Linked DNA regions of Caenorhabditis elegans. The protein of the gene in region 1 interacts with the protein of each later gene in a pairwise test. Each region holds a gene or a part of one and is shown on either strand. Other genes may lie near its edges. The genes, in order: mxt-1, asd-2, ife-1 and shw-3.

The links.
Region 2: the proteins of mxt-1 (region 1) and asd-2 interact in a two-hybrid assay, tested with the Caenorhabditis elegans proteins (one large-scale study listed by BioGRID).
Region 3: the proteins of mxt-1 (region 1) and ife-1 interact in a two-hybrid assay, tested with the Caenorhabditis elegans proteins (one large-scale study listed by BioGRID).
Region 4: the proteins of mxt-1 (region 1) and shw-3 interact in a two-hybrid assay, tested with the Caenorhabditis elegans proteins (one large-scale study listed by BioGRID).

The regions. Positions count from the first base shown.
Region 1 is NC_003279.8:12,841,428-12,848,427, reverse strand, and holds the start of mxt-1 (Eukaryotic translation initiation factor 4E-binding protein Mextli homolog), read right to left. Parts: upstream 4,160-7,000; 5' UTR 3,801-4,159; coding exon 3,719-3,800; intron 611-3,718; coding exon 473-610; intron 305-472; coding exon 137-304; intron 61-136; coding exon 1-60. Other genes in the region: ptr-17 (SSD domain-containing protein), read right to left, coding at 5,195-5,295, 5,729-5,950, 6,179-6,292, 6,355-6,414, 6,528-6,646. UniProt on the Caenorhabditis elegans protein: Plays a role in promoting translation.
Region 2 is NC_003279.8:6,887,907-6,894,877, reverse strand, and holds the start of asd-2 (K Homology domain-containing protein), read left to right. Parts: upstream 1-2,734; 5' UTR 2,735-2,792; intron 2,793-3,355; exon of another isoform or gene 3,356-3,432; coding exon of another isoform or gene 3,433-3,465; intron 3,466-3,511; coding exon of another isoform or gene 3,512-3,774; intron 3,775-3,818; coding exon of another isoform or gene 3,819-4,129; intron 4,130-4,174; coding exon of another isoform or gene 4,175-4,320; intron 4,321-4,366; coding exon of another isoform or gene 4,367-4,493; intron 4,494-4,543; coding exon of another isoform or gene 4,544-4,782; intron 4,783-4,825; coding exon of another isoform or gene 4,826-4,917; intron 4,918-4,963; coding exon of another isoform or gene 4,964-5,624; exon of another isoform or gene 5,625-5,676; intron 5,677-5,993; exon of another isoform or gene 5,994-6,134; intron 6,135-6,630; 5' UTR 6,631-6,660; coding exon 6,661-6,732; intron 6,733-6,971. Other genes in the region: C48B6.4 (Tyrosine-protein phosphatase domain-containing protein), read right to left, coding at 3,433-3,465, 3,512-3,774, 3,819-4,129, 4,175-4,320, 4,367-4,493, 4,544-4,782, 4,826-4,917, 4,964-5,624. UniProt on the Caenorhabditis elegans protein: RNA-binding protein that binds to the 5'-NACUAAY-N(1,20)-UAAY-3' consensus sequence in pre-mRNA introns to promote alternative splicing.
Region 3 is NC_003281.10:13,340,709-13,346,173, reverse strand, and holds ife-1 (eIF-4F 25 kDa subunit), read right to left. Parts: upstream 2,758-5,465; 5' UTR 2,567-2,757; coding exon 2,512-2,566; exon of another isoform or gene 2,462-2,511; intron 2,351-2,461; coding exon 1,885-2,350; intron 1,839-1,884; coding exon 1,664-1,838; 3' UTR 1,556-1,663; downstream 1-1,555. Other genes in the region: acaa-2 (3-ketoacyl-CoA thiolase, mitochondrial), read right to left, coding at 148-929, 980-1,132, 1,203-1,215; dro-1 (Protein Dr1), read right to left, coding at 2,854-2,991, 3,074-3,490; nud-1 (Nuclear migration protein nudC), read right to left, coding at 3,635-4,493, 4,541-4,644. UniProt on the Caenorhabditis elegans protein: Recognizes and binds the 7-methylguanosine-containing mRNA cap during an early step in the initiation of protein synthesis and facilitates ribosome binding by inducing the unwinding of the mRNAs secondary structures.
Region 4 is NC_003283.11:12,973,752-12,983,837, reverse strand, and holds the start of shw-3 (BTB domain-containing protein), read left to right. Parts: upstream 1-3,228; coding exon 3,229-3,281; intron 3,282-7,496; coding exon 7,497-7,595; intron 7,596-7,647; coding exon 7,648-7,752; intron 7,753-7,798; coding exon 7,799-7,859; intron 7,860-7,905; coding exon 7,906-8,034; intron 8,035-8,105; exon of another isoform or gene 8,106-8,255; intron 8,256-8,567; coding exon 8,568-8,888; intron 8,889-8,937; coding exon 8,938-9,342; intron 9,343-9,528; exon of another isoform or gene 9,529-9,678; intron 9,679-9,990; coding exon 9,991-10,086.

The DNA.
Region 1 (7,000 bases):
CTTGTGTTGGTGGTGACGTGGCAGACGGTGGAATGCCGACAGTTGGAGCTGGATCATGTTCTGGAACACACGAAGGTTTTTTAATAGTTTGTAGTTTGTGGCGTGTAGTTTTCTAGTTTGTAGTTTGTAGTCTTACGTCCTTCCGGCCTGTTGACATAATATTGGCTGTGTGCCAAGTTTGTTCTCCAATTCATTGCCCGTAATTCGACAAGTTCCATAATTTTCAATCGACACGGTGTCCCAAGTTGTCCATTATCTCGACAGCATGCTTGACGTAATGATGTGAAAACTTTATTTAATTCATCTGCAAAAATTTTTTAAATTGAAATTATTATAGTTTTAAAACTTTGGAAAAAATGTTCAAAAATGATCAAAAAAAATTTTTTTTTTGAATTTTTTCTGCAATTTTCACTTATTCACTTATAGAGCTTTGATGGCCTGACTTTCCGAAAAAAAAAATTAGGCCACTCACTTTTATGTGATTGTTCCAGCATCGAACCCGAAGTTTTGAGTTGAGCACAAAGTGTGAAGATCGTGTTTGCGAGTTGTGAAGTGAATTGGCTCGCACGTACCATATTGTTGATTGTGTTCATTAGCTGTAGTTGTTGGTCTGGAAAAAGTTTGGAGAGTTTTGGATTTTTGGAAAAAAAATTTCTGAAAAAAAAATGTTTTTTTGGAATTTTTTTTTGGAAAGTAATTTTTTTTTAAACTTGGATAGTTAAAAAAAACATTGTATTTTTCTAAAAAAAATTACATTTAATTTTCCGTTTTTATATTACTATTTTCAAATAAACGTTAACAATTCAGATTTAATAATTGATTTTAAAACAATTTGGTACTTGTGTATTATTTCCCCTCATTTTTAAATATAATTTTTTAAATAAAAACGTGTGGAGTTTTTGTATTTTTAGTCTTAGCAAATAACCATTTCTAAGCCTAAGAAGGGAAACTGGACATCACGCTATATTAAAATGGATAATAATAAAACGAGGGGAAATAATACACAAGTACCAAAAATTTAAAAACATTTCAGAACTTTTCAATATTCACTTTTAGTTTGAAAAGTTTTTCTTTACTTTTAATCATATTTTAAAATAAATTGATTGTGCAAATTTTTTAACTATAAAGTTTTTAAAATTTCAGTATTTAAGCTGAATTAATTTGACATTTCTAGCTAATTTGAATAAATACTGGATTTTTAAAATAAAATTTACTTTTGAAAATTAAACAAATATTTAAAGTATGTAGTATGTGGTGTGTTTTTTGTTCGCATAGATTTGAAAATAAATCAAATAAATAATTTAAAAAGTATATTATTTAATTTTCAAATAGCAATATCAATTTTGGTATTTTATTTTGATTTTAAAAAATTCGGCACAAAAATTTTTGAAGATTTTTTTAACGCTGAAATGATTGATAGATTTTTTCTGTTGAAAAAAAAATTTAAAAAAACCAAAAAATGTCGATTTTTAATTTTTAATCAATTTTTGTGGATTCTGAACTGTATTTTACTTAAAACAATTTTTTTTAACTTGAAAATTGAAATCATTACTGAAAACTGAACAAAATACTGAAATTTTTCTGAATAATATTTTTTTTCAAATTAAATATTTTCAAATTCCCAACTCCAAACCCCTTACCTTTTTACCTCTAAAAGTTCACGAAAAGTCTCAAAAATCTCTCATTTCTCCAAAAACAAATAAATGTCTTCTCCCCCCACTTAATCCTTATCAATTTTATATCAAAAATACACGAATGAACTCTTTAACATTGTCTGCGTCTTTTCATTTCTAACAATTTCTCCTTTGTCGGCTTCTGTACAATGTTAAGTGGCGGCTCGGCGAGCCGCTTTTCAGGTATTTGCTGATCGACTTTGTAACGATGGAGGGGGAGGAAAATTGGGTTAAACATGGGTTGATTTAGATGGAAATAAATGAACTAATATTATTTTTTGATTAGTTGAGTTTTTGGCTATAAACTACAAAGTTACCTAGCACGAGGGCTTAGGCTTAGGCTTAGCCTCAGGCTTAGGTTCAGGCTTAGGCTTAAGCTTAAGCTTAGGCATAGGCTTAAGCTTAGACCTAGGCTCAGGTTTAGGCTTTGGCTTAAGCTGAAGCTTGGGCTCAGGCTTAGGCTTAGTCTTAGGCTTAGGCCTAGTCTTAGGCTTAAGCCTTATGCTGGGCTGCGGGATGGCTATTCCAGCTGATAAAACAAAAAAACTTTTCTTCTAAAAATGGATAAATCAAAAAACGGAATTTTTGGATTCATGAGAATTCTGAAAACATTGAAAAACCCGCACCCATGGCTTCAACTCTATAGTTTTTGGTTCAGTCTATCAAACTACAAACTACAAAGCTTCATAGCCTCACCCAACATATTTTCGGTTGAGGTCATTTTTTGTAGTTATAAACTCTTGTAGAATTCCCTTCCTCTACTTTCACAATCAGTATTTTACCAGAAACTTGTCGTTTTGACGAGCTAAGATGATATATGAGCTGAACGGGTGAATATGTGAGAGAGTATGTGGGATGAATAAACGCAGAGAAAGAGAAGAGCACCCGGGAGAAAAGAAAAAGTGTGTAAAAATCGAGTGCAGCTGTGAGAGAAATCTGAGTTTACGAACTGCAAAAACGCTTATGAAATCAGAAATAATCTATAAAATTGGGAACAAACTGAGGGACTACAAACTACAAAAGGGTTTCCAAAATCCCTTGATTTACCTCTAGAAAATTCTTTGAAAAATATTAACTGTATGCAAACTGGTCATACAATTTGGAGCTGAATATTTAGCTTTTAAAATTTTTAAATAATAAACAGTTTTTTTAAAATAAGTTGCACAAAAATTCAGGTTTCGCAATTTTTTATTGCAAACATTTCACAAAAAATCAGATCAGAATATTATCAGAATATTATATATTTATATTATTATTATTATATTATATAATGCCGTAATTTTTTTCAAAAAAAATCGGGCTTAACAAATTGTACATTTATTTTGAAGCTAAAATTTTTATTGTTATCGAAAAATTAAAATTATTTTTTCTAGTTTCACTATCAGTTGAAAAAAAATTCAATTCAAAACTTCCAAAAAATTATTTTTAAAAAATTAAAAAATTTCAAAATCTCATAACTTCTTCCAAAATTACCCAATTTGTACAATTACTATGTTATTTTGAAGCAAAATATTTGTTTTTTATAAAAACATTTTAATTTTATAGGAAAAATACAAAAACCAAAAAAAAAACCAGATTCACAATTAAAAAAAAAACATTTTTTTCGAGATTTCTTAAATTTTCAAAATTATCAGATTTTTTTAAATTCAAATTTTTTTATGGAAAACAATTAATTCTTACAGAAAGCTATACTTGCACAAAAAATTTACAAAAAACACATGTTTCAAAATTTTCGAAAACAATTATTTTTTTTCGAAAGTTTTCCAAATTTCAAAATATCATAACTCCTTTCAAAACCAATAGATTTTTCTAATTTTTACTTTATTTTGAAGTTTAATATATATTCTTTTAACTTTAAATTATATTTAGACTAATATATGACAATAAGTCAAAAAAAGTTTCAGTTTCAAAAGTATCAAAAAAAAACATTTTTTTTCGAATTTTTTCCAAACTTAAGTCTCTTCAAACTTGCTTAAATTTTCCAAATTTTAAGTTACTCTGAAGCTCAAACAATTATCTTTTTTATTATTACAAAAATAACTCACCAACACTCAACAAGGTGTTTCGGGGCACCTGAGGCGCGCCCTGCATTTTCCCGCCGCCAAAGTCGTCGTAGTTATGAAGCATGGTTTTTCAGATTTTGGGAATCAAAATCAATTGATTTTGATTTTAATTATTTTTTCAGATTAAAATGACAGTTTCGTGTGCAAGAAAGAATGTGTTGGCTGGTGGCAGGAGATGTTGGTGGACAGTGAAAAAGTAGAAGAAATTTTTTAGGAAATCCGAAAAAAAGTTTTTTAAAAACTTTTTTCAGAAATCCAAAAATCGTTCGTAATTTTTAAAATAAATTCGAAATATCGGCGGGACGTTAGGGGTAACGTTTTTGGGGATGAAAACGTCGTGTAACTGAACAGCACCGCCCGTGTGTTAATATCTTTGTGTTCTCCTGATTTTACACATTCTCTCGGAGATGAGCCACTCAGTTTGGCTCCGCCCATTTTTTGTTCTGTTCCTATCATCTCTGTCTCTTTTTGTTTTCCGTTTTTCTTTACAACAAAATTTGCAATGAGGGAAAGGGAAATTGAATATTAGGGGTATTTTTGAATCATTTTTTGGCACAAAAGACTGTCATTTTATCTGAAATTAATTATCAAAATTCGTTGATTTTGAGTTCCAAAAGACTTTATCGGCGGGGAAAATTAGAAACACTGGTTGGAATGTTTTGTGGTACTGAAAAAAAAGTTTTAAAAAATTGAGCTTCAAAAAAAGTTAAAAAATTTAAATTTTGGACAATTTTGAAAGGAGTTATGCTATTTTGAAAATTTCCAAAACTCGAAAAAAATTTTTTTTGGAGCTTTTGGGATTAGGTTTTTTTTAAAAAAATTTTGTTAATCAGATAATAATTTTGATTTATTATAAGAAAACATATTCAGCTTCAAAATAAATTAAAATTGGAAAAATCTGATAAGTTTAGTAAAAGTTATGAGATTTTGAAAATCGAAAAATCCCAAAAATTGGTTTTTTTTCTTTTCACCTGCAAAGTTACCTGGTTTTTTAAAATTTTGTTTTTATTTTTACGTACTTTACAACACAGTAACTCTTGCTGGAAATCAGTTGCTGAGATACTGTGTATTTTTTGGTTCAGGCTAAGATAGTTTTGTAGTTTGTAGTCTAAGCATCTCTCATCTTGCACCTCAATTTTCCATTTCGGAAAATCATTTCAGACATCATTCAAAACGGTCAGGGAGTTTCGGGTGGCACAAATTTACATAATCATTTACATATAATCAACACATTGTTATTTTTCTCTTTGTCTCTTTTTCTAAAACATATCGGAAAAGAACGAATTCCTAGAGAGACACAGATAACGAGATTGAAATTTGGAACCTGAAATTTGGATATCGAATTGCTTTCAAGTTTTTGTGAATAAAAAATTATTTCAAACCAAAATAAAACATGTATGTACAAACGAAATAAATAAATAAGTTACAAATTGCACAAAAATTGATATTTTATCAATTTCACGGCTCCGTACTAGTCGTGGAAGTTGTCTTAAAGTAGTCAAATACCCTGTGACAGTTCATTAGAAGAAGTGGAAGGAAGACCAATGCGTGGGTGGTACCTGGAATGAATTTAAAGGTTGCTGGCCTAGAAATTCAGATTTTGTGTTTTCTAGGCCACCAGTATGTATGTTAGTTCTTAGGGTTCTAAATTTGGGGTACGGTAGTACTAGCTTCAGCTGTGATTCAAATTTTCAGTAAAGCAGATCATCACAAATTTTGAAATTTTTGAAGTTGCTGGACTAGAAACCAAAAATTTTATAAATTTCTAGGCCACCAAACTATATGTGAACTCCCAGATGTTATGGAGATGTATGAGTAAAGTAGTTTGGTAGAGCTCATTTTCATTACCAAAATTTTTTTTAATTCCAAATTAGGTGGCCTAGAAAATCACATTTAGGATTTTCTAGGCCATCACCCCGCATGTCAGTTCCCAGGCCCCCTAAGACCTCCAAACTTTCTAAGTTCACTAGAGCGAATTTACACAACACTTACCAAATAAAATAACCAATACAACAGTCCTAAAACACGTTTGAACCACATAACTATCCACCAAATACAGCGAAGAAACACCCAAAAGTACGGAAACTGAAGCCTGTGTGACTGGCCAGCCGATTGTACCCAAAGTGTGACAAAATCGTGAATAAATTGCACTTTTTCCCGGAATTTGGGCTCCAGATTCTGTCATGTACGCGTAAGAGACGTGGGCGGCGAAATCTGGAAATTTTTTTAATTTTTTTTTGTAAAATTTTTAGACTTTTGCTCCCCAAGAGCTTTCAAAACAGTAGTGAAGGGTGCAGATTTTCGACGATATAATTGGAGAAGGCTACAAAAATTGGGTAGTTTATTGTTTGTAGTTTGTAGTTTATTGTTTGTAGTTTGTAGTTTATTGTTTGTAGTTAGTAGTTTAAAGTTTGTAGTTTGTAGCTTGTAGCCAAGTCTTACCAACTGAAAATCCGACACTCATTGCTACAGTAATCATTGACGTGGCATCCAGGCTGACACCAAGGAAGGACATGGTTCCGATGACTCCGAATGCGATGGAGGCGATATTTAAGCCTGCGATGTTTGACTACATAGACAACGAAGACTACAAATACTACGAATTCTACAAAACTCACCAATAATAACTGAGCAGAGTGGTTGTGGAATGAAGAGCAGTGCGACCGGAACCATGACAGCTGAAATTAGTATTTTTGTAGTTTTTAGTATTCAAGAATCATACTACAAACTACAAACTATAGTGATAAAAAAATTGTAGTTTGTAGTTTGTAGTTTACAGTTTATGCCTTACCAATAGAAATATAGATATCCTGCATAGTTTGTGGCCACATAATATCATACTCGTCTGCAATATTCCACAACGGAGAATATGTAATAATACTGTAGTTTGCATGTTTTTGGGACAGTTTTCTGCAAAAATATTTTGGTTGAGGCTCACACAGGCAAAGCGGGTACGGTCCGTTTACGGATCTTGGACCGGGAACGGACCATTAACGGGCGAACTACGGATATGAAAAGCGGGACGGACCAATTACGGGCAAACTACGGGGAATGTAAAAAATGGCCATTAAGAGGAAAAAATGGATTTTAAGAAAACAATTTTTTTTTAAATACCTATGATACCAGTTGGCTAATTCAAGAATTTTTACGTCGTTAAATGCATTATTTAGAGCAAAAACCACATTTACCGACCGAGATGGCTCTTGAGCCGTAGTTGGGCCGTTTCCGGTCCGTAGACGGTCCGTCGCCGGCCCGTAGACGGAC
Region 2 (6,971 bases), 6.0 Mb from region 1:
TTATCTTCTCAAAAGATAAAATATGAAAATTATAATCAGTGCGAGATAATTTCATATGCAAATATCGAGATTCATTTATTGTTATTGCAACTTTTGATTCAATAATCCCGGTTGCACCAGAACTGAAGCTATTTGCTAGTACAAAATTAATAGACTATTTTTTGTTCGAGGCTTTAAAAAACAAGGCGCGCATCATAAAATGCGCATCATAAAAGCGGGCGTCTTCAATATCTTTTTTATTTTTTCAGCAGAACTAGAAAAAACATGTCAAGAACACACGTATTTTTCGAAATAATATAATTCTGGTTTCTGCCTCATTTCGTGTCAATTTTGGATTTACCAAGTATTTCCCATCTCCGCCCATTGTTCTGTTCATGTCGTCGACCGGTCGCCTCTTCAACCGTCGATTACACATTTAACATCTCAATTGCCTTCTCCGCCGTGTACATTTTATTCAGTTTTCTTTTTTTTACGTCAAAATCGATCCCTTTAAGCGAATTCGCATGTGAATAAATCTAAATCTTCGAAAGATTGAATCCGAAATTTAAAAAATTACAGTACTCACCGATACTTTTTCAGTCACCGTGTAAATTCTCCTTTTCGTTTTTTTTTCTTCCTTTGTTTTCGCTGGTTTTCTTTGGTTTTTTTTTCACGAAATCTGTCCCAAATGACGGCTATTTCGAGGATTTTATGACGCTTGAATGTTTGCAAACAAACGGCTTTTTGCCTCCGACGACCCATCGTTGACTTGTTGAAAGCCTAAATTTCCAAAAAAAAAAGTTGAAAACAACAGAAATTCTGTCTGACATTCTCGCGTTAGTGTGTCTGCTATTTATGCAGAAATACTCCTGTAAATAAAATTTTTATCACGAAAGTAGATTTATTTTTTCCAGTCCACAAAATAGATCCGCAGTTATGCAGAAACTTGTGATAATCCGACGAATAAATATCAAAAACATCTCGAGTTCCCATTCAAGTTAATCATTTTCACAAATTTAACTCAACTAGATGATCAACTCAACATCTCTCCAGATACCTGTCACTAGAAATTATATCGTTCTGTTTCCTTTCACCATTTTCTTGCCTTCCGCTTTCATTTTTTCCTCATAAAACGAATCATGGGAACCCCGAAAAGATAGTGTTGATTGAACGGAGACGGATGATGGAAAAAGAAGAAAATACGCGCGCACACATGTTGTCAGTGATGGCTTTCCAGTGATTTTCCAATTTTTATTCGCGTGTGTTCTATATTGAGCTGCTCATCGAATGGATAAGTGTTTATTCTCTAATTACATTCGGATTGTTTTCCATATTGAACATAGTTAGTTACCGAAGAGATTATCTTCTCATCAAGTCTTTGCAATTAATGATATTTTCTAGAAAGGTTTTTTGCGGCGTCCATTTTTTCAAATTCTTGACGGAAATCCGACATTTAGAGCCAATCAATTGAGACAAAGTCGGGGTCCTTTAGTGCTTCCCGATGGCCTCAAATAGCAACAACTGGTGCGGAAAAGTGGGCAAAGAAGAATAAGAGGTCACCTGGCATCGTTACAACTGATCCGCCTGTCATTCTGTCCGTCTAAATCTCTCTAATCCGTAATCTATCGTCATATAAGTTTTCCTGAGCTCATCATCATGTCTTTCACTCTTTCTCTTCGTCCACTTCTCACTCATTTAAGCTTATTCCTTCTTCCTTTGCTTCTCGTTCGAATACTAAAAGAAAGGGTGTATGAAGATGATGACTATAATTAAATCTGCACGCGGCATGTATTAATTCATATTTAGTGGTGGTAGAGGACTCATAGTTTTCTTCATTCCCTCTACCGTGCAGTGAGACATTACTTTTGGAAAAATTTATTGAACTTTACAATAAATTTGAAATATGTAAAGTTGACATATATTTATACCGATACGATAGGGAAGCCAGCTTTTACGAGCACTTTTCCAGAAAACTTGTGTTTTACATCGAAAATACATTTAGCATGAATCTTTTCGCTCAAAATATTTCTGAAAATCTGAAAATGCGAACCCTAATTAATATTTAATTCGATTCGCGGATTTGCCAAATTCTCTTGTTATTCCTCGAATTTCTGGAAAACCCACATCTCGTTTTCTTTCTCTAATATAATCTTAATTCAGATTGAGCAATTCTAAACTTTCAATTTTTCCAATAAATTTTCTTAATACTCTTTACCCTTCCAATACCCTATCCAAAATACTTTCGTGTCAATTTTTCCAAGAATTATTCATATTTTTGAGGTGCAACTCTCACCCCAGTAAGAGAAGATTTTCATTTTTACACGAGGTAGCTTATAAATATCGATGAACTTATTTTTCCAAACAATCTGAGCTTCTCAAATCGAAGCAACAAGTGATATCACATTCAAAATAATTTCTGTCAATGTGGACAATTTCAGTCAGTTATTTGAAAAATACTGAAATTTAAAAAACCTTGCCATTGGAAAATATTCATTCATTGAAAGTATGCTTTCAATATTCTTGCCTCTTATTTCTTTTAGTGCCGCATTCCAACGATGACCTTCTCATTGCAATACATTTGAAAAATGAAAGTGTATGCCGACTGCCTAGGTGTTACGTAACTTGCCATCCAGCCGATTCGGTTTCTTCTCATTTGTTTATTCGCAAATAAAACACCTTATGCTTCTTAGCTCACTTTATCTTTATAGATTTTTATTAATTCAAAAATGACTCCAGTTTTAAATGTTTAATTTCCAGCCGTATTCCTGTCTTCACGCCACCCAATCGATTCTTCAAGTGCTAGGAGCTGTCAGGTAAGCTGTTATTTCTTTTAAAAATTTGTATTTAACTGTAAATAAGTAGAAAACCATTAACTTGAGAAAAGTTCTTCCAATATCCTTTCACCAATTTTATTCTCGTGTCTCGGACAATTCTATTATTCCATCATGCAAGCAATGTACCGGAAAATTGGTGCATTCATAAGGTGCATTCATAAGGCCATCCTTCAATTTCCTTTTACAAATGTTACCTTTTATTGTTTTTATTTTCGGTCCTCTTCCCCTTTACCTACTTTGTTCGGAGCTTTATAATCCTACAGTAATCTCTTAAATCTGAACCAGTTCCCATTGAATTCTTCTTTCCTCTACTTTTTAACATCGATGAATGTGGGTAACCACGGGTGTTAATATCGGGCAATAACGAAATAGTGCAGACTTCACTGGAGAGACCGTCAGAGAAATACCGACAAAGTATGTAATTATGTTCTCCTCCTTTCACCATCACTTCGATGTATTTACTTGCAAGTTTGGAGTTTGTTCACATTTTCAATTCTCCCTCTTATTCTTTTTTAAGGTCAATGCTTTCAGTTCAAAAATAATAAAGCCATATCACTTTATTAAAATTCCATAAAAATCTAGAATACCGTATTCAATATTAACTCTTTGCGTTGTTTTCTTAGGGACCATGAATCAGAAGTTGAGGATTTGACTAAAAAGGATATGGTTATAAATTCAAATAAATGAATCATTCAAACCTGACGTGATACATGCTCATTGATTATTTCGATGTTTCTAACTTTCGAATCAGTAACCTGATTCTTGACGATTTCGTGGAAATGAGTTACATTAACAACATTTTGATACTCAGACTCTCCCATCTTGAAAATCAGAAGTTGCTGTTTCTTCAGGTTCATCGATAATTGAGTCTCAATTCCGAGTCGTTTAACAGTATAAATTCCGCATGATTTCTCACTTTCACTGCCGTAGGGAAAATAGGAAGCACAGTTTGCAGTTTCTTCTGAAATTTAATTTTTTTTTGAAATCTGAGGTTTAAAATTTTACCCGGGTCTAAATCAGATATAGTGTGAATTGTTGGAATTCCTTTATGTAGAATCATTTGCCAAAAGTCTTGTGTCTGTTCTGGATCTGGACTGTTGGCATAAATTTGAATGACATTATTCAGACGGTTTTGAGATTGAATTGGATATGAGCCGAGCGATTTCTGTAGATCAAATTCCTCGGTTTCCAGTTTAACGAGATTTTCAACTTCGTCAGCTCCGCCAATTTGTCTTGATTGGCATCCAGACAGTGAGATCTGAGATGATGAAGAGGTCAGGAAACCCAAATAGCAAGATTTTTCGTAGAGAGCCTTTCTATAAAGAATGTTCGATTTTCATTTCACGGTATCGAAATCAAACCTAGCGTTGGCCGCCTGAATAGGTTGTGTCACGAAATCTGGAACACTGGATCCTTTCTTTTCAATGAGATATGAATTACGCTCCACAAGTCTATCCCGGAGAGGACTGAACTGCATTGGACCATGAAAAAGCCAGTGTTGAGTTGGCTTTAAAAATATAAGATTTATTATTTATTTTTTGATAAAAGCTTACCATATCATTCAAAAGATCTTTTCGAAGATTCTCAAACTCTTCATCTTCTTTTGTATAATCTTTTGATGGATATTCTTGAATATCTCGTTGACAGTGCCAAACAACATACCAACCATAATTTTCTGGTCTAAAAGTTAAAATCAAATCAGTATTAGTAATCTGAACACATTAACTTACACTAGTTTGCATCTTACTGCAAACTTTTGAATTTTGCAATGTCGATATGGATATTCTGGATCTGTCAATCGTCGTACAATTATCTGTCCACATTTGAGAATCTCTTGTTTATCGTCAGGAATATATTGCTTACAGTTGGCCCCTCGTTTCTCCAAAAACTTTCCAAACATTGTAATCAAGCTGATGCGATCTTTATGGCACTGAGTCCAAAAATCTTGTGTTCGAGTTGCGTCAGGGCCCTGAAAGAGTTATAGTGCATTTATTAATTATAATTTCACTTACCAGACATTCGAATTCCAACCCATGACCATTGATTGAAGACTCTACCATGTCAAACTCGTAGCTATTCAGAACTTGCTGACAGCAGGTTTTTTCTGAAATAAAATAACGATACTTGCGATGAAATAAACTGAAACTCACTATCTCTTTCATAATCCTCCTTTGTTGGAATCAATAAATTGGGCTCCGAGTCTTTGTGATTTTCATATTTTTCAAGAAGAGCATTCATATCATACTTTGGCCATCCATTTTCATCATCACTCAAATCAGTTAATAAATCATCAGCTTTACATTCAAGTTCATCAATTTCCTTCAAAATCTCTTCTTTTGGTTTTGATTTACCATAATTCCCAGGAATTCTTCCATGTTCGAGTTCGAAAAGTTCCTTTGGTGTAAGCATGGTTTTACGCTGTTTCAAAAATTCTCGATAGTTTTCCGAGCATACAAGTTCCCTTATATTGGAATGAGTTACATCAATTCCCTGATTGGCAAGATATAACAATGGATCAAATATCGACTCAACACTATCATCACTGGATTGTATATCAAGATGTTCATCGTCAACGCCACTTCCGGTAACATCCACCTCACTTCCAGAAGACACACGTGAGACTTCGGAGACATCACGAGAGATTCTTGAATCGGGAATCGATTCTTCGCATGTTTCTGGAATGACCGGCACTTCCAATATGAAATCTTGAGACTTTGCAACAACGGCGGGACCAGATTCAATATCGACTTTTGTATAATATCGATCCGCTGGTGGCGAGATTTTCGCCTTTTTTGATGATTTTGCACCCATTTTGTGCAAGTTGGAAGACTTCAAAACTCGTAGAAGTTTAAAATGATTGTCTTCGCAAGATTTTATAATCGTGGTTTATTGATCTTCCCTTGTGTACGTTGAAATCAATAATTATGTTTTCAAATGTTTTCACGTCAAAAATGGATTCGTTTTCAAGAATGTTCATATTTTCTGAATATTATCATTCAGTCTTTCTTCAAATGATTTTTAAAAAATAACATTTTTTAATTTTTCTTTGAACAACTCGTGCTCATCCCCTTTCGAACGCTTCTACTGGAACACTTGTTCCATTTTTCGATCCGTTTACATCATCTTATTTTTTAAATTTTGTCACACCAAGCAGTAAAATCCTAAGTGTATATGTCTCTATGTCTCTTTGGAAGACACTTCCGGTATCCGGAAGAGCCGACGGATGCGCGCGCCAATCCTTGTGCGACTGCGGCACTGCAATGGAGAGATGACGGCGGCAATGTTGAAAATGATCACAACAACCGAATAAATGATATATTCATCTTGCGTTAAAAAACACGATTTTCTTCTAATTCCGATAAGATCTTCATTCGAATAATTATATTAAAATGTGCCAAAGCTTCTTGTTATCAATTCTTCCTTTTTTTAAATTCAGATTCTCTTTAAAGCTTGGAGTATTATTTTCTTTTATTGTAGCTTTTTCAAACTGAACATTAAAAAAATTAGGAAAAAAATATTCACAATTTATTTTTTTTTCCGAAATCTTCTGATAAAACACTATAGAATATCTTCCAAAAATGTAAACACGAAAACATCCGTCTAGATAATTCCCGTTTTACGTGACGAATAAGAGGCTTTTGAGCCTACGCTCATCTCACTTGATTCTTAAATTTATTATATAAAGATGTATGCGTCTTCCATCATAAAAATTCTCTTAAATTTTTTGAATTTAAATCCTAATTTCAATTTTAACATACAACTTTCCACATTAAAGTTTTGCCTCTTTTTGAAAACGAGTAATGTTATTTTCTTTCAGAACCGTCTGCGTTGGAACTCTTCTTCAAAAATGCTCTCCACGATGGTACATCACTTTGACGCCAATGACTACGTCAGTGCGGATTGGAAACCAGAACCTACGGTTAGTTCTTTCATTTTTAGCTTCTAGAAAATATTAAAAAGAATTAAAAAGGGTCAGTTGTGGGTCTAATTTTTGAGCGGATGTGTGCACTATCTGCAAATGATTTCCTTTTTCTGATACCTTTCCAATTTAGAAACCACCATTTTGAATCAAAAACTGAACTATTTTCTAATGTTTCCTCTTTTTCGTAGGAAAAGTGTCAGGTAACATTCACCTCTAACCATTTCTTTTTCTCCCTT
Region 3 (5,465 bases), on another chromosome or scaffold:
AAAATGAAAATAAAACGAAAAAGTTCGCTAATTCAGTAAAAATCCGTCAAAATTCCAAAAACTACAATAAAATAATTTTTCACGCGCCGAGACTCTTCTTAATAAATCAGTGCGCCTTTAATATGATGAAATTACAATATATTTTACCTCGAAGATATCAATATCTCCAATCTTGAGCCCACTCTTCTTGAGAACTTCCCGAATAGCTGGAGCCGGTCCGATTCCCATGATGGTTGGATCACAACCGACAGCAGAATAGGCAACAACTCGAGCCAACGGTTTCAGATTCTTCGACTTCACACTGTCTTCACCGGCAACCACAAGAGCAGCGGCTCCGTCAGAAATTCCAGACGCATTTCCTGCATTCACTAGTCCGTCTTTTTGGAAAACAGGCTTCAGCTTGGCAAGGCTTTCTGCGGTGGTGGCTCTCGGATGCTCGTCGATTTCGAAGCTTTCTTCTCCCTTGCGCCCCTTGATAGTGATTCCAACGATTTCATTCTTGTAGACACCAGCCTCCTGAGCCTTCTTCCACAGGGTCTGAGATCTCAGAGCGAATTCGTCGGCTTCTTGTCTGGTAACTTTGTATTGTGCGCCCAACTTCTCTGCAGTCTGTCCCATGGCTAACTTGGCATACGGATCGCTGAGAGAATCCCAGAGCATATCTTCGAATTCGTACTTCTTTCCAAGTGCAGTTCCGAAACGAATATCTCGAACAGCGAATGGCACCATTGACATGTTTTCGGTTCCTCCGGCAAGAACAATGTTGGACTCGCCGAGCTTGATAGCTTGAGCTGCATTCACGACTGCTTGGAATCCCGAACCACAGAGACGGTTGACAGTGAGGGCCCCGACGTTTTGTGGAACTCCAGATTTGAGTCCAATGTGACGACTCAGGTAAATTCCATCACGAGAGCTGGCAACCACGTTTCCTGAAATTAGAGGTTTTCTTTAAATCATTCTAAAAATAAAATCTTTCTACCAAAGATGACATGATCGACGGCATCTGCTCCAACATTAGCGTGCTTCAGCGCTGCTTGAGAAGCGACGACTCCCAAATCAGTTGCACTCAATCCTTTCAGCTTTCCACCAAAAGTTCCGAATGCTGTACGCTTGGCACCGACGATGAACACACCTGCAGACATAATATAAACATCACTGATCACTTATTAGTACAACGACCATGGACTTTGACCCCCACTCACATTTTCCTGCCATTTTGCAGTGTATTTGTGTGGTTCTGTAAATAAAAACGTTCTTATAAGTAGTAACAAATTATTAGGAAGAGGTGAAAAAACCTAAAAAAAAGGGCATTTAGAAAACTGCATAATTATTTTGAGAGGGGCTTTTGAACAAAAATAAAGTTTTTCGGTTGTTTGTTGGGCCGATAAGATAGGTAGAGAAGAGACGCAGAGACGAAAAAGAAGCAGAATGGCCGACTTTCGCGGTGTCTTTTTTATCATCATTCCCGCTACTTGTTCTCTGACCTAAAGGCTACATTCTACACTACAATAAGATACAAAATTGGGCCTGGAAACCACAAGGCAATATAATACAATTAATTTTCATCAATTTTATTAAACCAATCACAAAACAACGAGTGAAATACTAGCCAAGCAACGGGTGTAATTAAAAAACAAGTAGAGCAGATACAAAATGGTCTGCTTTAGACGGCGGATTTCTCGGCGACTGGAGCATCGGACGAGTGCAATGAAAGCTTGGCTTTCACAACCGAGCTGGTCTTCTTCTGGCAGCTCTCATGATCTTCGTAGCGGATCACATCGAACAGTGGCTTTGAGTGGTCCTTGGATGCGGCCATCAGCTTCTCCTTCAGCACAACTCTGAAATTCCAAAATTCAAGATAGAATTAAAAATAGACATGCATACCCAATCCTCATGTTGGTTTCATCATCGTTGCAATCCTTAGTCCAGACGCTGATCTTCGATCCTTTTCCTCTGACGTTGCACACCAACCCACAAATCGACTCCATGTCCTTTCCGAATTGCTCGCCGACCAAAGCCATGAGAATCTCCAGCCAAATAGCATCGACCATTTCGGGAGTCTTTCCCTTGTCAATGACGATGAGCCAGCGTCCTCCGTTCGAGTTTTCCGGAACCTCCCACATCGGCTGAATATCGTCACGGAAAACGTTGTAATCGCACAACGCGTTGAGGCCACTTGGTGGACGGATAGCATCGTAGAGAGCCCAGAACTCCGAGACGGTGTTGAAGGTGTACACCTTCTTCAGACGATCCTCCCAAGACTTGTTGCGCTCATCGTTCAAATACCACCACGTCCAGTTACGCTTCAGCGGATAAATGGGTGCCGTCGTTTGCTCCGTTTCAGTCATACCTGGAAGAACTCGATTAGTAAAATCAGTAAACAGAGAGAATAAATGAATGCAAATAAAAATGGGCACGTGGAACCAAAAAAGTGATGCAAAACGGCGAGAAACAGTTTTTTTGTGAATAATTTATAGTACTCAAACGATAATGAAAAAGGGAATGGCTCACCTTCTTTCTCCCCAGAGATTTTCAGCTTCTCAAATGCTATTTCAGAATCTGACATTTGCGCTTAAAATTTTCGCACCTCGACAACTGGCAAGGCAAAAACAGGACTGATCTGAGAAGCCGAGAACAACTGGGGAAAACGCCAACTAATCGTGCCCTAAATGACGTGCCATTGAAATATGGAGCGGGTCAGTAAAAAAATTCACGGGGAAAATAGGAAATGGTGGAATATAGTACAACAATTTTAAAAAGAGATTTAGAAATTATCGATGATGAATCAAGGTAAATACACAAATGAAGAAATAAAATGAGAACCCGTAGAAAAAAAAAGCGAAGAAAAACAATCTAGTTGTCGTAGTCATCGTCGGTTGGAGCCAAAGAGCCCTCTGATGGTCCTCCAAACATTTGTGCGTTTGCGGCTGCTACCGCCGCGGCTTGTGCTTGTTGGTGAGCAAGCTGCTGCTCAATTTCTTGTTGGCGTGCCTGTAAAATAAATATTAACATTGAGGAAATGAGTGTTTGTTTTATAAAAACAAAATTATTTTTGAAAACCTCAAAAAATTACCTTCTGAATTAATTCTTGTTGCATTTCGTACAATTTTTCCTCTGGAATACCACATTTTTCAAGACGAGAGTTCTTCCTTCGCAGCTTCTTCTCGGCTTCAACCTTGCAGGCATCGAGAACACTGTCGGCGGCCTCGAGATAATCTGGTGTGAATCCTAAATTCTGCAGTGCCTTCTGAACATGTTCGTGATATATTGTTTTTCTCTGATCCTGGCTCGCAATTCGTTGTGCTTCTCTCGCAATATGCTTCACGAACTCAACGCAGCAAGCATTGATCATATCTCTCGACTCGTTGGCGATTCGCATTTCAGGAACAACTTCTTTGATAATTTGGTTGATACCTTTCTGTGGAAGTCCGATTTCATTGTCCTCATCCATATCTGTGAAGAGTCTGAAAATTGTGTTGAAGCACTGCATTTTTAAGGGATCTAAAAGAGATATAAGGAATGAGAAATACATTATTAAAAGTTTAAAGATGAAATAAAATTAATATCAAACTGAGTACATTTATGCGAATATAAATATAATATTTTCGGAACAAATCTCACAAAATTCACAGAATTATCCAATTTTAGCATTGCTGAAGTCCATTTCAGGATGCTGTTTCATGAACTGTTGCAGCATATCATGCTTTTTCTTCTCATCAGACGTTGGAAGACCCATCTCCTTCTGCCTCTGATCATACATCATCTTTTCGACCATGGCACGTGTCTCTCCATCCAAGTCGCTCAATTTCGAGTTCTCTGGCTTCACTTCCTTAGTATTGATTGGAGGATCGGAATCAAGGAATCGATTCCACCATTCCATATCATTGATCTTCTCGAGAGTTAGGACAATCGCTTTCCCGTTTTCGATTACCCAGTTGCAATTTTCTACTTTAATGGCGTGAGGCAACTTTCCATCGACAATCGGAGCTTGATTCTTCAGGCCGACAGATACTGAAGTCTTCTCTATTTTGACGACAACGTCACGAGATTTGATAGCAAATCCAGCAGCAATTGGAATCTTCACCTCGAGTTCTTGGAGTGTTTGAGTCCATTGATATTTGGCAAGATCCGCACCATTTCCACTATTTGGTTTCATGAGCTTACTGTCCTCATCTTCGACTTCAGCGTCTTTCGATGTTTCTCCTTCGTTATCGACGAATTTTTCAAGATTTTCAACAGAATTTTTAGCCTGTTCCTTTTCAAACGCGGCCGCTTCCTCATCAGTGACTTCCACGACTTTCGCATTTCGGAACTCTTCCTCTTCCTTAGCTTTTTGTGCAGCTCTTCGTTCAGCAAGCTTCCTCTCCTGCTCTTCCTTCCGTTTCTTGGCTTCTTCAGCTTCCTTCATAGCCTTTCCACCGTGTTTATCGAATTTTTCGAGGAGAAGGGTCCGGGCTTGATCGACACCAGCGCCACTGTAGAAATCCGTCTTTCTGAAACAAAACATGTATTTATTAAGCACTTTGAAAAAATTTCTTACCTCGAAAGAAATTCAAATAGTACATCAAGCATTTCAGGCACTCCGCCGCTCAGCTGTTGGGCCATGGAGAGCAGCACCGAGTCGAATCGCTCATATTGAGACATTTTCTGAAATTTAAATATATTAATTAATAAAAACTACTTCCAAAACGAAGAAAAACATTAGGAAATCCGGAATTATTGAAAATAGAGCCTAAAATCAAGAAACATAGTTATTTCGCAATAATTACAGGACAAATTCTACTTAATCTAGTTAAAAACTTATTTTACAAACTAGAAAACCATTTATTTTGACAAATATCACTAGAAAAATTGAGTTATTTCGAAATTTCTGGTAAATCCTATTTTCGCCATGTTCCCATGGATACTGCAAGTGCCTGGGGAAAGCAGGTGGCTCATAATGCTCAATTATATTTCTGGGACAATGAGAATAGTTGAAAAATCAAAGAAAATCTGTGCGAAATCCCGCAAAATCGATAAATTAGGAGAGAAAATGTGTAAAATTGAAAATAAATTGCGAGCGCCGTTTTTTCTAGGCGCCTTGGCGCGGCGACTGGCGCAACTCTCGTGCTGACGCGAAACTCGATGCTACAGTAGTTTGATTTGAAATTTAAAAATTCAAATTTGAATTCAAAGTAATTTTCAGAAAAAAAAAGCAATAAGTTACCTAGTGCATTACTATTTCTCCCGTTAAAGAGAAAAACGGGTCTAATTGAAGAACAGATGGTGCTAATCAAAGAGAAAAATGCACACGCTTAGAAATTGGATTTTTCGAGACCTTTTCCATTTTGAAACTTTCTATTGATAATAAATCCAACTTAAATATTGATTAAGTTCACTTTTCCATTTACAAATTATTCCAAAAAAGACAGAAAAGCCATTACGTATGCTTAATTGCTTTTTTCTAATTAGACGTTCGACACTTC
Region 4 (10,086 bases), on another chromosome or scaffold:
TCGGATTTGAAACCAACACAATTTATCAATTTTCTATTTTCAAATTCTCATAAAGGTGCAATAAAACATACTTGAGTAATGAATTCCTGTTGCACATTGTGATTTTGCACGCAACAACTTTCCAAAATATTTCTGACAAATTTTTGTAGTTTTCACTGAAAAACGTTCTCGCACCGTTGTCTGAAAATATCGGATTTCACCTCTACTGCACACAAGTAATCATCAAGTTGATTGACCCGTTCTTTTGTTTATATTTCTTGATGTTTTCCTATTCTCTTACTTGTTTTTGTTCATACTTCTCACGCATTTGTATGTTGCCAAAAGCAATCAGTATGCTAATTGAACCTCGTGAGATAACTCTATAACCTCATTTATATATATATTTCTCTTTTGTTTTTCCCTTTGTCAGTTGTATAACTTTCTTTTATCAAATTATTTCCCTACGAGATTTTTAGAAAACTCGTTTTCCTGTTTCTTCTGTTTTTGCTTCATCACCATCAAATTTTCATCATATCCAAACAGCTGAAAAGTGCTGGAAAAAAGAATGAAAAAAAACAAGATTAGTATTCGGGTCAGTATGGGGAACCTCTGAAAAAAGAACGGCTCAAGGAAAAAAAATACTGAAAATATAGTCTGGCGTTGAAAATTAGAGGCCAAAGGCGGACAAGAGCAATATTTGAAATTAATTTCTACATGCTTCTTTTCCTCATCTCACTTCAAACAAAAAATTTGCTTTCTTTTTTCTTTTTTTTTTGCAAAATTAAACTAACTTGTGTTGCAAACTAAATTTCACGAAAAAGTAACACAAATTTTTTTGAAAAAGCTTAGTTTTTTAAATAATACCTGTTCATTTCTATATTTCCAAAAATTCCAAATTTCAGAATGTAGTTTCTCACTTTAAATCATATTGAGAAGTCTAAATTATATAACTGCCTATATTTTTCATAGTAAAGCTTTTATGCAGTTTAGTTTCTCTGGAAAAAAAAACATGGATTATTTTCGAAATTTGTCAAATATTTTGCTTCAGCGTCATTTTCTAAATGCCACTCAAAACATCCCGAAAAAAATGAAAATAAATTTGACGATCATTTTTGAAGTTTAGTTTACAAATCTTTTTGTCGAAATTATTTTTGAAAATTTCAAAAAATTACAGTTTTAGTGTATACCACTTTGGTAATTAAAAAACGTTTTTCAGATTCCAGTAGGTCTATGAAATTGTTGAGTGATAAGTTGAACTTTAAGCTGATGCTATAAAATAATTTCAGAAACAAAAATTGTTAACTTTCTTGAACTAATCATTTGCCAACTAACAATCAACTATAAATAAAGACGAATCCTGTAAAACAATTGCATACCTGTATATCAATCAATTTACTGTTTTCTATGTCTCCAGCTTTTCGAAACTCTCAATGAAGAAAATAAAAGTAAAGAAACAGAAAAGTACATTTCCAAAAGTGCTTGTCACTTCCAGCTCTTCTCCGTGTCCGTTTTGATCTGAAGTGCTTGCGACGATGGCGACCGAATAGCTGACTTTCTCGTGCCAATTAATCAAATTTATTCACATTCACATTCGCACACATATCTCCACCGCTTGCTCCTCCTCTTCTTTCATTCTTTTTTTGGTGAAAGCACTGATACATCCTTCTCATCTAAGAATTTGTCAACTGAAACCCACCCAAATTATACATTTTACTCGATTCATTAGATATATCTCAGTTCTCGGTTTTCTCTTTTTCCGCTTTAAGATCACTGTTCATTTTAATTCACATATATTTTTAGGTGCTTGCTTTCTAGTTTTAAAGTTTCCCACGTACTTTGCTGTCATAAAAACGTCATAATTTTGATAATAAGATATTTTTTGAGACTAGTTGACAAATTAATATGATATATACATATTCAACACTCTCTTGCACTTTTGTTATTCGCAGTCACTTCCAAAATAAAAATTTTATTAGCTGATTATTAAAATGTATCGCTATGTTCAAGCTTGTTTTTGATTTTGCATTAAATTGAACTTTCGTTTTGGGAAATTAAGCAATATTTTTTTATTATTTTTGTCTATAGAAATAAATTTAACAAAAAATTAGTATTCTTCAAAACCTCGACTGAAAATGATAACCTCAAGCTAAAAGTTTCGACGTTTTCTCGTTCGTTTCCAAAGTTTAAAAATTTACCGTATTTCTTCTATTAATATGGCTGCAATACTATTTTTCGAAGGTCTTCCCGCTTGCAATACTATTAGGGAGTGCAAGACTAATAGGGAGTGAAATACTATTTTTCAGAACATTTTTCTGTGTTGGGGCTTACTAGTATTTACTTGAAAAAACTCCAACTTTAATTTGGAAATATAGAAAATTTGATTGAAATTGCAACAAAAAGGTACAATAACTTCAATCTCATAAAAATTTTCTTATAAATTGTTGCAAAATATTCAAAAAATGTTATTAAAATCTTAAAATTAGTAAGGAGGGTTTGCACCAAAAAAAAGTAGGTGCAAGACTATTAGGGAGTGCAACACTAATAGGGAATGCAATACTAATTTTCGGAAGGTCTTTGAAGGGCAATACTAATAGGGAGTGCCAGTCTAATAGGGAGGCCAAACTAATAGAAGATATACGGTAAAAGATTATAAAATTAGAAGTGAAGATGTTACTAAAAAATTGTTCTCTGTAGGTTAAAATTCTAACTTGCTTTTTCAATAAACCTAAAACTTGCCTGGTAAAACATTTCCCCCGTTTCCGGGAATTTTCCTCAAAATATATCAACTTTTAATAGCAAAAGTGTTCTGAGACACTGAAATTGATATCCTGTGAAACAGCATCTGACCACTAAAACAATTATCGAAACTCAGACGTTCAATTTTTCCATTTTACAAAAATTATAGCTTGAACACATTTTGCAAAATGCCGAATGACAGATTCAACTTTGAACAAATATTTTGCATTTTGCATTTCCTTTAAAAAAAAATCTCCCAGTTATTTTGTCAGAAAATGGGGTGACACAAGAAAGAAACTTTTTTTGAAAAGCCTTGTTTGTTGCTTTCTCATTTATTGCCGTCGCCGGAGGCCTCTTTCCGAATTGTTGCCAGGACACCTTTTCCTAGTTTTTTCGTTGATTTTCATGTCTCACAACTTCAATTTTTCATTCTTGATCGAAATATTCTTCGTTTCAATTTCTGCTCTTTTTCATTTCTTCTTGATTTAGTATTTTTGGATCGTCCCCCCGTCAATGTCAATTCGACGACGGAACAATAATGGAACAAGTCCGTCGACCGCATTTGGGTAAGTGTTTCAAACAGGAAGAAATTTCAACAAAAAATGAAAAAGCAATTTGCAAAATGAATGGGAGCAGTGGAAAAAAAGTGAAAATGAATTAGATATACTGATGCTCTCTCTCTCTCTGCAAAAAAAGAAGATGAGAGAATAAAAATTAAATTGAGAAAAGGGCAGGTTACAAAGCTCATTGTCCTTTTTTTGCCAATCATTGTGAGTCTAAAATGGGCGACAGCATTCAAAAATTGTGAACTCTAGATTTTCGGCTTAAAAACTTGCATGCCGTGTTCGTAATTGTGTTTGTAGTGTTGTGAGCTAGTTGAGTGAATTTTGCTTAACAATTTTAAAATTCATAATTTTTTATTATAATGTGTCACTGTAAATAATACTTTGGATTTTTTTAACCATTATTTCCCACGATGAGTTATCTGAACCGGTTTATCGTTATCTGAAAACTCATAAATTTTACCAAGATTTCTGCAAAATACGGCTGATCTTACAACAAGTCAGTGTATTAGAGGGCGCAACACTAACTTTCGATTTGCTCCTAGGGCTGCAATACTAATATAGAAAACACGGTACATAGTTTTACAAGGTGTTATAAATTACAGTTATTTTTCTAAAAGTTTTATAAGAACCTCTTAAACTTGGACTATTTAAAATCTAAACTTCAAAACATTTTTTACAGCTGGATTTTTAACCCCGATGCTTTCTAACAACTTGCTCGCGTAAATCTTATTTTTCTTAGCTTCTACCCTGACAAAAGTAATAAACCATTTTCTTCAAAAATATCTGGAATAACAATAATAATAAAAGGGTAATAATCCGGTGTGTCCACTCATTTTTGCACCAACTGCTTCCTTTCCTCGGTGGCCCACATCTCCTTCATTTCCTTTATTCTTTCTTTCCCGCACTCTCGTCATGCGCATTCTTTTTTTTTCAGTCGACACCTTCCAAAAGAGAAGTGACAAAGTACATTTCCGTGTCCTTTGATGAGCAGCAATTAATGGGATGGAAGACTAGTGAGGGTGGAGGTGAATCTAGGAGAGATTCTAAATGTAGCCATGAATATAAATATTTGCTCACAAGTATTTTCTTTTTTCGCCCGGAAGTATCGCTTGAAAATCTTCGAGATCTTGAAAATCTTACTATTAGGTTCTTATAAAAAATGCTTCTTCAGATTCTAATTTTCGTTCTTACTGCACGTTATTTCCTATGTTTTGCTTTTTCGTCTAATCTAGTAGTGTCAGATTCTCAATTTGCTGCTGACCTTCTCACTTTTCATACAAATTCTTCATGATTCGGTTTTTCCACTATTCTCTCCCTCTCTGTCTCTCTATTTCTCTTCCTCTCTTTTTCCTTTTTTCACACTCCAATGCGGCCACCCAAATTGTATTTTCTGATGATATCTCCATATGAGCCACAGCACCAGTTACAATCTTGCTCAACAAAAATCATTTGTTTACCCCAAGTCACAAATATTCTCGAAAATTGGAACTAAATCTAGAAAGGCACTTCTTTGGACAGAAATATAATTTTAATCTGAACTTCTTATTTGAAGATGGAGTATTGAGAGTAGGGAAATGATTTGAAACCGCTCGTATAGTCCTAAAAATTCAAACTTTGCAAATCAATTTTGCAAAAATTTTGTTAAATTGTTATAAATCTCAGTCAAAAAGTGGAGATAACTCAAAATTGGTTTCAAAATTTTAAATGCGTTTCAATTTTTGTATTTGAACATTCTAGAACATTCAAACCTGCAGCAATTCTTAAAATCACTCAAAAAAAACCGCATTGTTGGAAAAAGTTGCCAGTTCTTCCAAAATTAGAGTAAAACAAATCGAAGAACAGCTACACAGCTAAATTTCAAAAAAAAACGGAGTATTTTCTTACATTAGGAATAACTGATTATAATCAAAATAGCCTGAAACGATACGAAATCTAAAAAATATATAAATGAACAAAAAATTTTTCAAGATAACTCAAGCATCTAATTGTCTAACAAGAAGTAACTCTTTTCCTTTTTCTTCAGTTGGCACCATCGATAATTACGTACATTAAGCCGAGTCTTCTCTGTCCGTGTCCTGTGTGTCTCATCATGATCCATGTACCACCTTCTTCTTCTACTACTACTTCTTGTTCTTTTTCCTCCTTTCTCGAAGTCCTCTTCCTACTCTCTATTTCGTTGTCCTGCAATCTAGAGTATGTGACAAAACATATCAAATTACCCGTGAACGATAATCTCTCTTTATTTCGTCTCATCTCTCTTTTTGCTCTGCAGAGGATCGGCTCATCATCCACTTGTTGGAATGTCTATTTTCACCGCCATCGCAACACTTTTGACAATTCAAAAAAATAATTTGTTGATGTTCGCTTTTTCTGTCCAACTGTTTCTAGGTGACCGAGTTCTTTTGCTAGAAAAGTCAACAAAAAGTGAATTAGCTGGCTGTTGCTGGGGAAAAATGTGGATTTGAAATATTTTCGGTCACATTTCCCTCTCGCTTTGCTTGCTTTGAATCAAAATTTCAATAGGTACTTGCTTTTCGTGTTTTGAGACTATTTGGACTTTCTTTGTGGTATTTGGGTGTGGGGTTTATAAGTTCAACGTTTCGTTTTTTCTTGCCAAAATGTTTAGTAATGATAATGCAATCGTTTCCAGACCAAAAGGCGTACAATTGTAGTTTTCTGATTTCGGAAGTTAATTGTATTTTTGGAATGTGAAAAACAATCCGGCAAAAACATTGAACACCTCTATCTGGTTGATACAATTTTACGGTGTATTTTGTAATAAAAAATAGAATTTAATAAATATAGCTGATCAGAGCGAAAAAATACAAAGAACCACATGGAGTCATATTCAAAAATCTATAGAAATAGTGACGTAGGAAATTATAAAATTATACATTATCCGAAGAAAAATAGCTTACTCAAAAAATGTTCATAATCAAGATCGACCAAAAAATATGTTTTGAGTTGTTATGTGAGTTTATAAGAGTATAATGTAAACAAATATTTATCCATGAAAATCATTTTCTTAAATTTGAATCGTTTTCTAATAGAGCATTTTTATTAAAATAAATCTGTAGGTTTAAAAAAAATTGTTTTTAAAACGTGACCTCCAAAAGAACTAAAATAAATTTATTTTTGTTTTATTGTCGAAAGTTTATTGTTGAAATTGTAAACTTGGGAATCTGCCTCGCAATAAGTATCCGTACAACTTACTTTCTAAACTAACTGTGGATATTTTTGATATTATAGGTTAACTTCAAACTTCTTTTTTTTCAAATCGAATAGATGTTTTTCTACATTTAAAAATAAATTTTTGCTCTAAAATGATATGCACACTGAAATTAGCAGTTTTGTGGATTTACCTAGAAGAATTTCCTCAAAACCTTTGTAGTGATACTAGAAAAATGCAGAAAACTTATTTTACCCATATCAATTCAAAATTTTCGGAACTTTTTCACGAGTACCGAGCCTCCCAATCTTAACAACTATCTGTAACTATACATCTCACGACGCCTCTCCTTTCGTCTTGTCTCTCATTTTGGCGTATGTGATCAAATTTTAATGAGGAAGCGGAAGGGACCACAAACATACAAGAGCGGGAACAATGGAAGCAAGAAGGGTGGGACGGGAGAGACATAGGAGATATGGCTCCAACTGGGGTGGTGTTGGTTGTGTGGCGTCGGCTGCGGCAAAAAATAAGACTGCTCCTCTGGCCCTTCATTCTCTGCTCTGGTGGCACGCTTTTATGATTGTTATTATCCGGTCTCAACACAACAATTCATCACGCTCCAGATGCTGCTTTTGTGCCAGATCTCTTGAGCCACCAGAAACAAACTTACAAATTTACGATTTAGATGCATTACGGATAACTTTTGTGAACATCCCCCTCCTCCTACCGTAGTCGACTCCAAAGTGATATGTTTTCCGTCATTATGTTCGGGCTTATGTGCATTTTTATGTACGTCTTGCTTTCTCAACAACAGCTTTCTAAGTTTGATATCACTTTCTGTATATTTAGCTGAGATTAAGCGTCCTTCGAAGGATATACAACATACTGAATTACGTCTAGTGAAAGGCTTAAAAGTTAACTAGTAGGCCTGACTGAAAAACTTGGTTTTTGAAATCCAAAAAAACATCAATTATACATTGCTCACTAGTCAGTTAACGTTGTTTTTTTTTCATTTGCTTACAGAAACAATTTTCTAATAATTACAGACAGACTGTCATGGACAGTGAATACCGGATCATACTCAACGTGGGTGGTGTTCGACACGAAACCTATAAGCATACGCTTAAGAAAATTCCAGCTACACGGTAAAGTAACAATTATTCCATATTTCTTTCTAGCATGATTTTTTTTATTCAGACTATCCCGGTTGACTACAAATTTGGCCAATTATGATCCAGTTTTAAACGAGTATTTTTTCGATAGACATCCCGGAGTTTTTGCGCAAATACTAAATTATTATAGGTAACAAGGCACAAATCGCATTTTCGATAATTTTTTTGAGTTTAAGAACGGGCAAATTGCATTATCCTCTTGACGTGTGTGGACCATTATTTGAAGAGGAGTTAAAGGTAAGAAGATAATTGTTAAAAGATAAGAAAATACATTATTTTTTAGTATTGGGGACTTGATTCAAATGAATGCGAACCATGCTGTTGGATGACATTATCTGGTACAAGAGATACACAAGATGTGCTCAAAACATTAGACGAGTTGGATATTGAAGTTGATCAAACAGAAGGACCTGTAAGCTTTTTGTATAACAAGAGAAAAATGCAGAATTTTAGAACATTTTTTATCCATTATGATTCATTTTACAAAGCAATATAAAAGTTTTTGCGACTCCTAATCAAAAAAAAACCGGCATACTAAGTACAACGTGAATTTGGTTGCTATGTCTGCACATTGTGGAGTAAAAAGTAATCGAATGAGATCGTGGCGAGACCCACCGAGAAAAAAACCGTGCCTTTAAATTTTAAAGGCACAGTTTTAAATTTGAAGTGTTCCTATTATAGTTTTTTTTGAAATTTTGAAGCTTCATTTTAAAGTTTAAAATGAAGCTTCAAAATTTCAAAAAAAAAACACTATAATAGGAATACTTCAAATTTTTCGAGGTTTCAAACTCGCTATACTTCAGATTTTAAAGTAACTATTATAGAAGTAAATATTGGTGCCAGATATCTCTCAGATAGTCAGAAAAATTCTATTTTTTACCAATTTGACAATAGGCTTGGTCTAAAAAAGTCACGATTGGCAAAATTAAAACTCGAAATTTTCAGGAACTGTACAAACGATTTGGTTGGGAGGATGACTATCATAATGATAGTCTCAGTGCCTGGCAGAAGATCAAACCTCGGATTTGGAGGCTTTTCGATGAACCAAATTCATCTAGATCAGCACAATTTATAGCAGCTATTTCTGTATTTTTTCTGATAACAGCCATCATTGTTTTCTGTCTGAAAACCCATCCTGGTTTGAGGATCCCTGAATTAGCTCCATTTGGAAACTTTTCGCGGAATCATCGGAGTACATCTTCACGAATACATCCTGCACAGATAAACATTGATAAGGCCAATTCTAGGCCTCATCCAACTTTTATGGTACAGTATACAGAAAGATTGAATATTTAATATTCCTTATACTTTTCAGTACATAGAAACAATATGTAACATTTGGTTCACGATTGAAATTCTGGCAAGATTCTCTTCATGTCCATCTCGTTTTGAATATCTTCGTGCACCTGTGAACATTATCGACATTGTTGCCACTTTGACATTCTACATTGATTTATTATCAAGCATGTTTGGAGCAACTGCAGATCTTGAGTTCTTCTCCATCATTCGTATTATGAGACTTTTCAAATTGACTCATCATAATTCGGGACTCAAGATTTTGATGCACACCTTCCGAGCATCAGCAAAGGAATTGATGCTACTTGTATTCTTTTTGGTATTGGGAGTTGTTGTATTTGCATCACTGGTGTATTATGCAGAACGGGTGGAAAGTAATGAAGATAATCAATTTGTGTCAATTCCGATTGGATTGTGGTGGGCGGTAAGTTGAGAATGTCTATTTATACTCACGTTAAGCCCTTTAAATTTTGAACTCAATATTTTGAAAGTACCTTTCTCCTTTTTTTTATTTTTTGAGTTGGATGAATGATTCAATTTTTCAAAACTATTTTTTATAGTTTCCAAAAAATTTCTGTACTGCGTGCCCACTTCTAAACATTCTTTAAAAAACAATTAAATGTCTGGAAATAACGTATTACGGGAACACTACGTTTTGAGGATGCGTATTGCGCAACATATTTGACGCGCAGAATATCTCGCACCGAAAACTACAGTAGTTCTTTAAATGACTACTGTCGCATTGTTTTTCACTTTTTTTTTCTGATGAAACATTGTAAAAAAACAACGAAAAATAGGAGGAAAATTAAATATCGTTGTCACAATTAGAAAAGAAATTCGTTTCGAAAGTGCAGCCTGTAAATTGACATCAGTGTTATAATAACATGTTACAGTAGACATTTAAAGATTTACTGTAGTTTTCGCTGCGAGATATTTTTCGCGTCAAATATGTTGTGCAATACGCATTCTCTGAATTTTACATTCTCGTAATATTTCTTGTTACAAATTCTGAAAGTAAAATGAAACCTTTCCTTGTAAAAATGAAACATCAGAACAAAATTCCAATTTCCAGATCGTCACAATGACAACAATTGGCTATGGTGACATAACACCTCATACATATCTGGGCCGCCTGATTGGTTCGATTTGTGCTCTCGCTGGTGTATTG